3 linked regions of the Oryza sativa Japonica Group genome follow. The protein of the gene in region 3 binds, or shares a complex with, the protein of the main gene of each other region. Links are inferred from orthologs where the notes say so. Each region holds a gene or a part of one and is shown on either strand. Other genes may lie near its edges.

The links. The genes of interacting proteins can lie anywhere in the genome.
Region 1: mediator of RNA polymerase II transcription subunit 16 (region 3) and mediator of RNA polymerase II transcription subunit 28 share a complex: the UniProt entries of both Arabidopsis thaliana proteins name them as parts of the mediator complex. The link is inferred for Oryza sativa Japonica Group from reciprocal best matches to the Arabidopsis thaliana genes SFR6 and AT3G52860.
Region 2: mediator of RNA polymerase II transcription subunit 16 (region 3) and mediator of RNA polymerase II transcription subunit 25 share a complex: the UniProt entries of both Arabidopsis thaliana proteins name them as parts of the mediator complex. The link is inferred for Oryza sativa Japonica Group from reciprocal best matches to the Arabidopsis thaliana genes SFR6 and PFT1.

The regions. Positions count from the first base shown.
Region 1 is NC_089039.1:3,231,526-3,236,426, reverse strand, and holds mediator of RNA polymerase II transcription subunit 28, read left to right. Parts: upstream 1-1,486; 5' UTR 1,487-1,558; coding exon 1,559-1,751; intron 1,752-2,149; coding exon 2,150-2,262; intron 2,263-3,121; coding exon 3,122-3,256; 3' UTR 3,257-3,613; downstream 3,614-4,901. Other genes in the region: U1 small nuclear ribonucleoprotein A, read right to left, coding at 3,999-4,289. UniProt on the Arabidopsis thaliana protein: Component of the Mediator complex, a coactivator involved in the regulated transcription of nearly all RNA polymerase II-dependent genes.
Region 2 is NC_089043.1:12,244,048-12,249,330, forward strand, and holds the start of mediator of RNA polymerase II transcription subunit 25, read left to right. Parts: upstream 1-1,695; 5' UTR 1,696-1,891; coding exon 1,892-2,001; intron 2,002-3,409; coding exon 3,410-3,440; intron 3,441-3,541; coding exon 3,542-3,605; intron 3,606-3,725; coding exon 3,726-3,856; intron 3,857-5,283. UniProt on the Arabidopsis thaliana protein: Component of the Mediator complex, a coactivator involved in the regulated transcription of nearly all RNA polymerase II-dependent genes.
Region 3 is NC_089044.1:19,714,360-19,718,955, reverse strand, and holds the end of mediator of RNA polymerase II transcription subunit 16, read right to left. Parts: intron 4,522-4,596; coding exon 4,285-4,521; intron 3,837-4,284; coding exon 3,659-3,836; intron 3,504-3,658; coding exon 2,989-3,503; intron 2,578-2,988; coding exon 2,401-2,577; intron 1,933-2,400; coding exon 1,549-1,932; intron 1,433-1,548; coding exon 1,286-1,432; 3' UTR 919-1,285; downstream 1-918. UniProt on the Arabidopsis thaliana protein: Component of the Mediator complex, a coactivator involved in the regulated transcription of nearly all RNA polymerase II-dependent genes.

The DNA.
Region 1 (4,901 bases), on a different chromosome or scaffold from region 3:
TATGCAATCTGAGGATAAAATTTTAGATACTCGTGGCACACTTTTCAAACAGCTAAACAGTGTGTTTCGTACGAAAACTTTCTATATGAAAGTTGTTCTAAAATATCAGATTAATTCATTTTTCAAATTTGTAATAATTAAAATTTAATTAATCACATGTTATTATCACCTCGTTTTGCGTGAAACACTTAATCTTCATCTTCAGGAGATTCAAACACTACCTAATCATTTTTTTATTTGACTATCAATTTAGATTTGATCTTTTAAATATTAAGAAATTTAAGGGGCAACTTACAAAATTTACAATGAGGGTAGGTATGATGACATATTCACTATATGACATATCTCCGTTTTTTTTTTTGAAGAAGTATAGATTAGACCAATTGACTAGCCGACTGGGTACATCGGTCGTACTCCCCAAAATGGCACCAACCTAACCTAATGCTATATTAGATTCTGCTATAACTTATAATCAACTAAGGAGTATATTACATCAATAAAAGAAATATCTACCGATAACATTAAGTTAATTGTGACTATCACTGATCGATTAATTAGATGTATTTATGACAACCGCATGCATACGTGTCGAGCAGCAAAGAAGTGTGTTCACTTTTATGCTACAGTAAAAAAATCAGAAAGTCACGAAGTCAAGCAATATATGTTGCCATATTTGATGTTTAACACAAGATTAAATACACAAACATAAAGATAAATGGGACTTAAACAATATGCATAGGAAAAAAAATATTAGCATTTCATGTTTCTTTTTTCTAAAATACAACGGAAATTCACTGACTCCATATGTTCATATTGTAATCTAAGTTTATCTTTCAGTTAAACTTCTCTAACACCGGTTGGCTTTATAAAAAAAAATACAAAATCTGTAACACCAAATTAGTTTAATTAGATTCATCATGAAATATGTCTTTATTGCATTTATTTATTATTTTATATATTGGTGCATTTTATTCAAACTCAGACAATTAACTTAGAAAAAAATATTTATAGACCTAGAATTTTTCCCAAATAGAATTCCAGATTTATTTTCCAAATAGAAATATCATAAATATCATTATATATATATATATATATATGTATATATATATATATATGTATATATATCTATATATCTAATAAATCAAACTAAGTCTAAATAACTCTAAAACATTTATACATCCTAACAAAGGTATAAATATTTACAGGGTACTTTTAAGCTATGTTCTTCCCCCCATTTTCCCAACCCACCTATCTTGTTTTCCACGTGTACGCTTTTCAAACTGCTAAACGGTGTGATTTATAAAAAAACTTTATATATAGAAGTTGTTTAAAAAAATCATATTAATCTATTTTTTAAAATAAAATTAGATAATACTTAATTAATCATGCAATAAAATAAACTTCGTTTTGCGTGGCAGGAGGAGGGGTTCCCAAGCCCCTCCTCTGAACACAGCCTTAGTAGGTGCGCCAGGCGCACCCATTTTCTAGTAGTTTTTGGAAGAAGGGTTTCATTGCAATTTTGCGATCCCCACCTCTCTCTCTCTCGTCTCTCGCTCTCATGGCCGAGCCGCCGTCGCAGTCGCCGGCGCAGACGCCGCCGCAGGCGGCGCAGCAGCAGCAGCAGGGGCCCGGGGAGAGCGCGCGCGACGACATGATGGCCTGCGTGGCGGCGCTGGAGGCGGCGCTGCTGCCCTGCCTCCCCGCGCGCGAGCTCCAGGCCGTCGACCGCTCCCTCCAATCCTCCCACCAGAGTACGTCGGACTCACTGAGACTGACCCCGCCGCTCCCCCTCTCTCCTCCCTCTGCAGCCTCCCTTCCCCGTCGTTCTTGCGCTTCCCCCGGCCAAGATTTGGCGCGGCTGGTTTGGTTCGACTCGCCCGCCCGCCAGGTGTTCGCTGTTTTGCCTACGAGGTGGGGATTAGGAAGCCCCTCGTGCTCTAGCAAAATGTGGCGAAGTTATTTTTTCTTTTTACTTGCGCTGTTGGTACGCGGGCGTCTCGCGGGTGCTGAGATGAGATTGAGAGGGTGGCATTTGAGCGTTCTACATCTGTGTGCTCAACTGTCGATGTAGAAATTGGATTCTTTTGCTTTGTTGCTGGTTAGCAAAATAGGGATTCTAAGGTGTTGTGGTTGTTATAATGTGGAACAGTTGATGTTGAGAGGCACGCGAGGGATTTCATGGAGGCTGCGAAGAAGCTCCAGTCTTACTTCATCAGCCTGCAGCGCGAGGACCGACCGTCGACAGAAGAAATGCTTCGAAAGGTACATTGCATTGCTTTCGGAACAACTTTGCTTCGAAAGGTACTCCTTGACTTCGAAATGATTAGCAAATTAGAACTTTGTGATTAGCAAATTAGCCTGTAGGTAGAACTAGGACCTTGTTTGGGGGAGCTTAAGATTTTGAGAAGCAATTGGTTGGTAGTCAGTTTATGAGAATATGAAGAAGCTGGAAAGTTAGGTTTCTTGTTTCTAGTTTATTTTCTGTATTCTTTAACTACATCTTCTCAGAATCTAGATGAAAAGCTGAACTGTTTGAGTGAGCTTTTAATTTTAGGAAAAGCTGCAGCTGCCAAAAGCTCCCTCAAACATGCCCTAGGTTGGGTAAGCACAGAGTAACGATTTGACACCAGAGTACACAGACATGGGAGGCTGAGAGCTTGGGGATGGCGAGGGAAAAGGTCTAAAAAATATTCAATTTTCAAAGATAAGGGCTTGAGTTTGTCTCTTTTACAGTCTTGAATTGACTGGGCCAGCTCTAAATCAGTCCCGTATTGTTAGCACTAATTCTCTGAGATGTCTAATTGAAGTTTTTTTTCTGTGTTAGTACTCGTTGTGCTCAACATTTTAGAGTGCTTGAGATCCAATGGTTTTTAATATTTGGCCCATCAATAAGTTTAAAGCTATCTAGATTGGTTGTATAAAATCCATTTGACCCTCTCTTTGAAATCAATTATATTGATGTTATATTGCAACCGTTGTAAAAAAAAAATTGTGCATCGATTTTTCTCTATAAGCTTCATGGGAGAAATCAAGAGAAATCCTATATGGCGTGGTCCCCAAGCTGTAATAATCAAATAATAATGTGTCATCATGTTTTAACATGTCCAGTTTCGGTTTGCAGGATATTGCTATAATGGAGGAAGAGCTGAAGACCAAGTCCGAGCTCATCGACAAACATAAGAAGCTCATCGAAGGGTGGCAGAAAGAGCTGAAGGACCAGCTGGGAAAGCATGTTACTGAACTCGAAAGAGTGTGACACCACTGTCTTCCATGAAATGTCCCAGGCTCCTTCCGATGATCAACCTGAGTAGCCCAGTGCTGGGCTATGCCTTGGAGATTTTGAGTACGCCAGCCAGGAAAAAAAAAACACCACAACAATGTTTTAGGATCTGACCAGTTTGCCGAAGACGAACAAATTGCGCTGTATTAATGTTCGTTGCTATGTTCGGTTTATCATAATATTATTGTTCGTAGTTTCTCGTGTGCTCTCCATCTCATCGTGTTAGGCATGCCTAACATGTTAAACTTTTAGATTTTTCGGAGCAACATCTTTTTCCCGATTATAGGAGTGTATGATAACATGTGTGTTCAATGGAATTGTCTAATTGCCTCACTTGTCATTTTAGATGTTTCTTTCAACATATTAATGATTTAATGGTAATTGAATCCCACAGTTGCTGTCAGGTGACCATGGTGACACAACTACACAAGTATGACTATGAGATGGTAAATATTTTAACGAGGCTAACAGCAATAGCATAAATGTAAATCGTCTCAAGCTGCCATATTTTACACAAGGGAACACGAGTGGAACTAACTAGGAGAACTCACGACTGCAAAGATGGTTCAAATTTCATCTCATTCCTGAAACACACACGGGCAGCTGAGCAGTAGTACATTAACATGGTTGTCATGGTGTAGTCTACCTAACAATGAAAATCTATGGATTATGCGAAAACTTGGGACTACAACATTCATCGAGCAAGTCAATAGTACATTTACTTCTTCGCATACGAGATAAGCATCTGGTTATCTTTCGTAATTTTGAACCCCTGAAGATGGTTCATGGCAGCGGTAGCCTGCCCCTCGTCGCCGTACTCCACGAAAGCAATCCCAGGCTTTGCTTCAACCATTCTGACTTCCTTGAACCCTGGGTACTGACAGAAGAGCATCTGAAGCATCATAGGGGTCGTCTCATGTGGGAGGTTTTGGACGAAGAGGATGTTATTCGGTACAATTATCTCCGGCATCATGACCTTCTGTGCGCCAGCAAAAGGTAGCTGAGAGAGCTGCACAAAACAGTGAGCCAATGAATCGAAGGAATCCAAAAGTAGTGGGCCCAAGAAAAATATAAGGCAGAAATAGGGGCGTTTAAATGTGCAACATGCTTACTGTACAAACAGTGGTCTTTATGCTTGTGATTATTGTTTGCCGTGGTCATTTGTATTAGTTTTCTTTGTTAGCATTATATTCGATCTATAGTTTGGATGATTATCTTCCTTTAGTTGAACACGTTAAGAGACTTTCTTAAGGGTATAAACAAATGCATCCCTACAGAAGTGATTGTTGCCTCCACTTAGCACCGTGCTACCTCAAACTAGGTTCACAGCATGGGTTGTGATTTCTAATTGCTGGGTGAATCTCCTTAATGTATTGGATGGCTAATTACAGGGAGGACAGGACAATTGCCTATTTGGCTAATGCACATGCACATTCTATTCCCAAAATAGAATGATGAAACAACAGGCAGACTTTCTGTGTTGCAGAGAGAGGGAAATGTGTGCATCAGTACATGTGAGCACAAGGAACTAACATGAGTGGAGCTTGTGCCCATGCGGACATATGCAATGGAACAGTGAAAAGTGGTAGGTATGACAGCTGCTTCAAAAGAGTCCTCAATG
Region 2 (5,283 bases), on a different chromosome or scaffold from region 3:
ATTCTATTCTATTTCTATTCCACTATACTCTAGAAACTATATTAAACTTGATAGATGAAATGAATTTCTTGCTTGTGGTGTGTCTTGAAATGGAGAGAGTGAGCTCCTTGTATAGCCTCCCAATGACGGTTGTGACGGTTGGAATGGTCGGAAATACCCTCCAACCGTCATTGGGAGCTAATCCATACCGTCTAGCCGCAACCCTGCATCCAACGGCGCCAGGATGGGTTCGGCCGAACCAGGGGCCGACCCATTTTCGGCTAGCGGCCTCGTCTTCTGTTGCTCACTTCAGACTTGTGAATTTTGGCCCAATTGGTCATGTCATTTTTGCATTCTTGACCTATTCATTGATAGGTCTGATTCTCGACATTGTCTGATTGAATGATCACTTGTTTTGATGTCGATTCTTCTCCACTTAGTGTTCATTCTCTGCAAGAGGTTAGTAATCCTAGTGCCAGTGGAATATTTATTATTTTGACATAAATATGCATTGCAAGCATAACTAGTTCTCTTTTATTTAAGTAGTGTTGACGGACGAAACTGATCACTAACGACCGTCAACAAATATAAATGTGTTTTAACAATATCCATATAAGTATATCGTTTATTTCGTACGAGTCTTTATATGAGTTCACTGGTTGGGACTTGATGTTTCGTGCAGAGGTTGATGATATTGCAGTCATTATATTTTGAATGTTGCATTTATCTGGAACATTTTTTTAGCGAATTGAAACAATTTTTTATAAGTGGTGAAACATCATTAATTTTTTTTATATGTGAGATCTTGTTTGTAAAGATTTGAATTACAAGAAATACAACGGTGCAATCATATTATAGATTGGATTAATAATTTAAGAGAAAAAACATTTAAAGTGTGTTAAGAAAAGCAAGATTTGTATGGAGAGATGAGAGATAGGGAATTATGGAATATTGCATGTAGCTGATATGAGGCAAGGAAGTAGTTGACATACATGCTGCATGCAACAAATATGTAGGGTGCAACACACGCAGAGATGAGGCAAGGAAATACTCCCTCCGTGGTTGCTATATTCTGAGACGGATGAAGTAGTTGACATGCATGATGCATGCAACGAATATGTAGAGAGCAGCACACGCAGGAGGTGCAGGAGGGGGGCACCCGATTTTTCTCTTGAAAATCGGGCACCCGATTCTTAGTTACTCCCTCCATTCCATAATATAAGGGATTTTGAGTTTTTATTTGCATTGTTTGACCACTCATCTTATTTAAAAAAATTGTGCAAATATAAAAAACGAAAAGTTGTGCTTAAAATACTTTGAATAATAAAGTAAGTCACACAAAAAATAAATAATAATTCCAAATTTTTTTAATAAGACGAGTGGTCAAACAGTGCAAATAAAAACTCAAAATCCCTTATATTATGGGACGGAGGGAGTACCTCCTAAAAATACCCTTAGTTTAGCCGAAAGGCTACACTCAAAACTAACCTGATGTATACTAAGAAAGTAATAAATGCTCACAATTCTTCCCAACTATAGAGTACCATTATTATTACATTTACTAAACACCATAAAAGAACAATACAACTCTTTTTTACACCAAAATTTCCCCATATTCCCCTATGGCCCCACCTGTCATCCACACAAAAGCCCACCTTTCTTCTTATGGGCCTTGGGGCCCATATAAATTAGACCCCAGTACCCCACCCCTTCGCCGTCATCTCTCTCTAACCTCACGAAACCTAACAAGAAGAAGAAGAAGAGAAATTCCGGCAAGGAAGGGAGGGAGGGAGAAGTCGTTGGTGCGGGGGAGATTGATTTCGCGGGAGGGAGGGGAGCTCGAGAGGCGGTGATTCGGGGAGTCGGCAGGGTGGCGCCGGGTGCGGCGGCGGCGGGGGCGGCCGTCGGGGGGATGGCGGCGGCGGCGGCCGAGAGGCAGCTGGTGGTGGCCGTGGAGGGGACGGCGGCGCTGGGGCCGTACTGGCCCGTCACCGTGGCGGACTACGTCGAGAAGATCGTGCGGTAATGCTGCGCCCGTGCTTTCCTCCCCCCGCCGCGCCACCCTGCTTTCTTGTTACTAGTTGACTGTACGGCCGTCGCGGATTAGTGCATCTTGGATTTCTTGATGTGGAAGAATTGGACCCTTTGTTGATTGTTTAGCTGTTTATTTTGAGACGAAGGGAGTACATGGAACGCGAAGCGGTAGCTAGTTAGTTCTTGATAGTGGAAGTTAGCAGCTATCCGTGTATGTGTTTGATATACACAGTTTTTTAGTTATATTAGTCGGATATATCGTTCACTCCAAGCATTAGTAGGAGATTTGGAGATTTGTTGTTTGCTCTCACCTTCTTAATTGCAAACATTAAATGGTACTAGTTAGCTTCAATTCTGTTTCACAATGCTTATTCAAAGAGTAAGAATGCAAGCGCATCATCGATGTGTGGAAATTCGTGGTTTCTTGATGAACTGGTTGGTTGTTGGCTATATGGTGTTGTGGCACGAGATACATCTTTTTTTGCTCCTGATTCGAGGAGACTTTGTATCACTGCATATGTGCAGATCTATGACAGAATGTAGCATAATTCATCTTCTACTTTGGGTTTTATGCCTTTTCTAGTTCCTCCTTGCTCATTCAGAAGTATTTTTCTTCAGTCTAGCATATTTTAGTGTTTTTTTTTTCATGAATGATGAATGATTCCCATGAAAACCAATTTCAGTTTTTGGCTGGTGATTTTACTACTCTTCTGTACAACCAGTAATGTAATGATGGGATGTCTGTTTGGTTATGGTTATGGCTTTTCTGAAGTCCTTGTTTTCACTCTTGTTAATTAGTTGATGTTCTGGTTTCGCATGGGTGTAATTGGAATATTCATCACATGAGTCAAATTTCTTGTGTTCAAGCCTTTCAAATAAAAAAAATAATGAAAGTGGGAGCTGTTTGTATTGTTGGTCAATAATCAGTTTGCTCTGAATTATTAGGGTTTGTTTGCAGTTGCTATCCTCCTGTGCTTATTATTTAGCTTCTGTGGAAACAGTTAAGAAAAACTTCGTAGTCTGTTTGAGAAATCAAATTAATGTTAGACGAATTCTGTTAGTCAATTTAAACTGTTATTTCTCTGACAAGTGTTCTGTTTTTAGAACTGAAATAATATCTCTATTTGCAACTTGATTAAAAGAGCAGCAGTTAGCCAAACATCAAAATTTCTATAAGCTACTGTACGGAACAGGATTATCATAGTCCACCTCAACGCAAAATCCAAATGGAGCCTTTGATGTTATGTGGTGATCCACCACAGCTTCACTCTCATATACTTACTATCATGAAACTTTTAAGCTCATCTCTTGCTAGAAATTTTTGTCAATTTCTGTAGCACTTAGTAACCTTTGCATTTTTAGTACTACTATTCATGAAGCATTTCAATTTATGCAGGAGTTTTTGTGCACATGAAATGGCAGGACAGGTAATTTGCTCTCAGTATTTATCGTCGGACTTACTACTTGATCCATGTTTCCTTGACTTGTGTCAAAACTCAAAAGTGTAAATTATTATCGTGTTATGCAGAAGCTCGCAGGGACACCCCCTGAACTTGCATTAGTCGTCTTCCATACCCATGGTCCTTATAGCGGTAAAGTTTGATATCCTCCATGCCCTAAGCTTTTTATTATGATCCATTGCAATTATTTGTATTTAGTTCTATATCAACAAAACATGTAAGCTATGATAATTCGCTTTTGATTCCTTGCAGCTTTTTGTGTGCAACGGAGTGGATGGACAAAAGATATGAATGTGTTTCTTTCATGGTTATCTGGAATATCATTTAGTGGTGGAGGCTTTAGTGAAGCTGCTATTTCTGAAGGTCTTGCTGAAGCATTGATGGTATTGACATATTGGCATCGTTCAGTTCTTTTCACTTTTTGCACATAATGACTTCCTCTGGTGTTTCCTGTACTTTTTTTTTTTGGTTCAAAATGCATAAATTAGAAACTGTGGCTTACTACTTCCAAAATTTCAGTACTGCATATGGTTGCCTACTTTTGAGTTCCCGTGCAAGGTTTTAGCATTTTGTTTGGCTTGTGCAATCATGCTTCATTTGGCATATGAAATGATGTTTCTTTTTTGCCAAATGGCACATCTTTCATGTTAACATCAACAGTAGCAACCTTTAGTTCCAGGCAAGTTGGGGTAGGCTAGAGATGAAACTGATGTGCAGCCACAAAAAAACTAAGGGAAGTATAGTACTAGTAATAACAATATAGTTAAAGAAGACGTGAATTAGGTCATGATTCTGGGCATGTGGACCGCCAATTTCCATGCAACTCTATCCAAAACCATAATTCATCTCCACAGGAACGACTGGGATTTTTATGATGGCTTACCAATGTTATCGCAACATTCTTCCTTTACTCAGCGTTAGGACCAGCTATGCTGAAGCAAAGGCAGAGTTTGGTATCTTATTAACAGAGATATTTTGATTTCCTAGATGAAGGGAAATACCTCTTTTCATCTCTCACTGCACCTGAATTTGGGTCCAGTTTTGTCTAAATTAGTTGATCTACAATTTTGTTTCTCATAGTAAGCCCTGTAAACTATTAGTTGAGCCTGGACATTATGTAGAACCATGATACTTAACAATACATGTTCTACCCAACCTTTTGGATTACTTTATTTTCCAAGAATTATAGCTTGTTGTCTTGGTATTGTTATTTCCAGTATTCTCTAGAATCTGTCCTTTAATGCCCTTCTGCACAACATATGATTCATGTGAGAAAATTCTAAGGTGGTTTGCACATCCACTTATCAGCTATTGTCTCATAAAAAATGTCTTGATCTGGATATCAGCTACAGATAGCCTTACCTTAGTAAATAGAGTGTATAACTGTAATCACCATTTCATTAGGTTAATTTTTGTAAGGAAGATTTTCATTAGATCAACCCTATTAGGAAACTGGATGTCTGGGCCAGTACCCAGAATAAGCAGAGTGAAACTAGTATGATCAGAAGTTTAAATTCTATGAATGTACCTATATTAGTATGTTAATTTTCCTATGGTACTGAGTCTTCAAAAATCAAAATTTCAGTCTTCATCCCTACTATTATAAAGAGGGAATCGTCCTCCTCCACCTCCACATAAAAGCCTCTTTCCTCCATAAAAACTGTCCACCCTAAAAAAAACTGTTTACTAATAAAGCCAACCATTGTATAAACACCGAACAGCTCACTGGGCCCAAATCCTCCCACTAAACTTAATAAAAAAAACCATTGCAATGCATGACAGCATGAGCCTATAACTAGTTGAAAAATAC
Region 3 (4,596 bases):
TGCTACTCCAAATATTATACTGGTGTGATTATGGTGAATAAGAGCAACGACCGCTTCGGCCAACAGGATGTAGGGTTATTACCTGACAATTCAGGGGCCCGAACCTGTATAAAAATCTCTGTCTTCGTCTCTTTTACCTCGGTCTCGCGTATATCCTAGTACCAACGATCTCCATACTATGCAAATACCGGAATCGCGACATCAAACGTCGACAAGTACTAAATAGTCTGTCTTTTATTAAAAAGTAGGAAAGTTGATTTAAATAATCATATCAATTTATTTCTTTAAATTATTTACTAATATATTTATTAGCTATGCGCTAATTTGTTGCTCTGTTTTGCGTGAAAGGGACAAGTTCTAGGTCACTAGCATCCAACACACCCTTAGCATTTCTTTATTACACGACTGAACCATATGCACGAACGCACAGCACTACGCATACAACACCACACTTGCACACTCGCAAATGCTTCTCTAACACAATTAGAAACTAGCGGCAAATCCTATTTTCACGATATTTATATTGAAAACCAAATTACGCGTACATAATATTCGTGGGTATAAGATTTAAATATTAGACCACCACACCGCTGATACTTCCCAATTTTTAGCAAATTTTGTAGTGTGTATATTTCGAGAATATATTTTGTTAAGTTTAAGCAAATTCTGTACACTCGATAATATTTTTAAGCACTTGTAAATTTTTGCAAGTGTTCTAGGATGACAGTATTACAGGTAGCTCTGTAAATATCAGAACCAAGCGCAGTTTGAATACTTTCTACCCTTCGAAAAGATTCGAACAGAAATTCAAATTTCGTCTTTATTTTGTCGACCACGTTGAACGATGATCTAAAGCCACAAGTTGAACATAGCATAGCTTATGAGAGAAACACCCAATTGAACATGCTATTACATACATGGTCTTTTCAATCACCAGCAAATATTATTGACATCAAGCAGTATCTAACGGAGTTTCTTTTCCAATGTTGCAAATTAGTACACTACATTTATGTACAAAAGGATCGCACAACACAACTGCTGACTCTGACAGTGTTTGGGCATGTCCTAATCCTGTTTTTTCCTACCGTTTTACACAGCTGCTGGTGCAATCTGCTCTGACTGCTGCAGGTAAACTATGATACCATACCAGGGAGGGCCTGAGACCAAACAATCTAAAGTTAGATACAAAATTGTCCAAAAACCGATGGCGCCTACACAGATTTGGCCGAGAAAGCTATTGGCAGAGTGGTTAGTACGGTGAAGGTGTCGCCCGGAGGCGTCAAATTCAAACGACTTTCACCCATGTCCCACCGCACATTGGGCAAGCATGGGTCCATCGGCTGATCCACCATGCCTCAAGCTCATTCGACGTGTTCGGAGCTAGAGCACCAGGCTGAGCAAATGCACAGGTTTGCCTCAAACATCGTATGCACTGCAAAAGATAGCATGTCTCGGTGTCACGGCAAATGGTGAATTGGATAGAGTGCGTCGATAATTAATTCTGAAAGAATACTGAAGTTAGAGACTACTACTATCAAGTATGCTTACCTTGTACCATTCACCTTCGAGGCCTGTTTTCCACACAGCTGTAATAACATCTCTCCGAGAACCCATCACACCTAGAAAAGATCCCAGCCCCACGGATGTTTTCAGACCAAATGCTGCATCTCTTTCAGACAACCGGCGCTTTCTTGGCCAAAGATTTTGAATCCCAAAGGAGCTGTCGCCATCCTCTTCCATGTCCGATAAGTGGCGATTGGTAGAGCCATTGATTTTTAGCTGTCGCGTATTATCCAATGGACCAAGATCATCTGGTTCTGACCATGGCCCACCAAACATGTTGCGTCTATGCCATTCTTCAGCAGGGGGCTGCAGTTCTAATTCTCGAAGTAGAAGGCCAGCAGCATCAGCTCCACGTGGACGAGGCATATTCTGCAATAAATATTGGAACAAATGGGCAACATTGGTATAAATTCTCGACAGAAATGCGTGTACACAGCTCTTGTTGGACATGTACATGCTCACTACTCTTACCAAAGATGTACATGCTGATGAAAATGAGAACTCCTAAATGGTGACAAGAGGGCGCTGAGGCCATGAGTAATAAATTATATAGGCAGATGGAGAACGTATGAACAAAAGAAATCATAAAAACCAATTATGCACGTGTGCTTGTATAAATGAAAATTTCCATAATTAACTTGGACAACAATATTCTTTTGCTGGATCAATCCATCGTTAACCCAGGTAAGTAGAGTAGAACTTGCAAAATACTATATCTCTATTTCTCCAACACAATTGAGAATTACTATAATGTATTGCTGAGAAGAGAACATTGAATGCTCTAATGAGTACACAGAGAATACAGAAATAAACTTCCACAATAAATCTGTATTGTACCTGCATATGAGGGCCAAGAGATGCTTCCACTACCTCAGGGAGCACAGTGTAATTGCCATCGATGTAATGCAGCCTTATAATAATATTGCTCGAACCAACCTGAGAAGAAGGCAACGGATGTTGCAAGGTTGCAGTCCGTTTACATAGGTCAACTAATATGAGAAAAAGGACTTTCACCTGCAAGCATGAAACAAATAATTCAGAAACTAGATGTATTACAGTGCTACACAAATAATACTTTCAGAAAGGCAACTAATAAAATCGGGAGAAACATGTCGGGCAAATCACCGATCAAAGATTATACTAGGTAAATTATCCAATCATGTCTAATTACCCTTAATCATATGGCACTTGCAAACAATTTAGACACACACATGATATATGATATGCAGACATATAACCACACTATATAACAGCTCTAATCTAAATGTTGATTCAGAAACAATACAGGCTAGATATTGATGTCGAAGCGCACATACAAAAATACTGTTATATGTATAACTATCACTATTTTCAGATTGAAAAAAGTTTTCTTATTGAACAATTCAGGCTGAGAAAATCCATATTTATGGGTTATTTGTTTGTTACCTCGTCTGAAGTATAACCTTGGCCAGCATTGCCAGAACCTATCCTAGCAGATTTGTTGCCCACTGGATTTTCTTCAGCACCCTTTGCTCCAACCATCTGTCCACGTGAAGTTGTGCCATCTTCCAATTTGGCAGCACCTAGACCAGATCTGACTGCCAAAGTATTATCCTCTGTCTTACTGTTCATCAAGTGTTGTTTCTGCATGCTAGAATCAGAACTTTTTTGTGCATTTGCAGGTATCCTTGGAGATTGCCTTCTCCGAAAAAGCAAACAAAATAGCAACAGCTGACATAATCTATGAAGGAAATGGCAGTCCCCAATAAGTCTAACAGCTGGTGTGCCAGGGAATGTTCCCGTATTTATGCTAATAGGCATGAATGATGACCTCCCGCTAATTGGATTTGGTGCAGCATTTGCAGCACCATCAGTATTGTTACTAATCTTAGCAATGGCACCTTGGACCCACTCTTGCATTTGTGAGCTCCCTGTTGTAGACGCTACTCCACCTTGATTACCTGAAACATTAGCATCATTGCTAAGTTTGAAATGTGCCAGCAACTTGTCATTTTCCAAAAAATTAAATAAAGAAACAAATAATTCATAGGTGGTTTTATTTAGCACCAAAAAAAAAAGCACAAGCTTTAGCAAGATAGACGGAATCAAAATTAACCTTGGTTAGTTGAAGGTGAAGGAGAACTGTTGGTTGGACTTGTAACCATATTCCTAGAATTGCCTGAACCAGAAGATGCTCCAACTGCATGGCTAGCCAAAGTTCGGCAGAAGCTCGCATAGCGTCGCAAGCGTGTGATAAAATGTGACGCTAAATCTAGAACAGCATCAACGTACCCCTGCAGTCCATGTTCAAAAAAAAATTAAATCCACAAAATAGTAACATGAAAGTTCATATGCAGACCGCTTATGCTGAAATGTGTGCACAAATTGCTAAGGCATTGGAGGCAGTTGATGGGCTGAGCATAATTCCTGCACACCTAGGAGCAAAGCTTATGATGAAAGCTATCTGGAGGCTGTTTGAATCGTAGTCGGTTTGGAACATAAAAACAGCAAAATACTGCTGTAAATACTGTAAATTCCATACATGGCATGGTTAATCTGTGGCATATCATGCCTCATCCTCATGCATGAATAGGTTGTGGTTTACAAATAGCTTATCATTCAAAAAGGTTTGCAACATCATTTGCCCATATTAAGTCTATAGCCAAAAAAAGGAAAACGAGATTAGCAAATTGAACTGAAACTGTGGACCAGGAAATCAAAAGAACATGAAACACAGTATACCTGGATGCTTAAAAGTAGAGCTGGGTCAACAGTCATTTTGTCAGGCCCAATGCTAGATAACATGTCACTGGAAGCTTGCCACGGTTCAGGTAGCAGAGTTGATGGATTTATCAGGGCAGACTCAATTCCCTTGCCAAGCATATCCAGAAGCAATCTTGCTTGCATGTCCAACACAAGTGCTCTGACATCTTGAGCATTTGTTCCTTCCAACAATCTACACTTTATCCTATCAAGATTCTGCAATAAGTAAAATAGACTAATCAGTAACAGAAGAAAGCAATAGCCTTGCAACTTCAAGTCCTCAAAATCTGA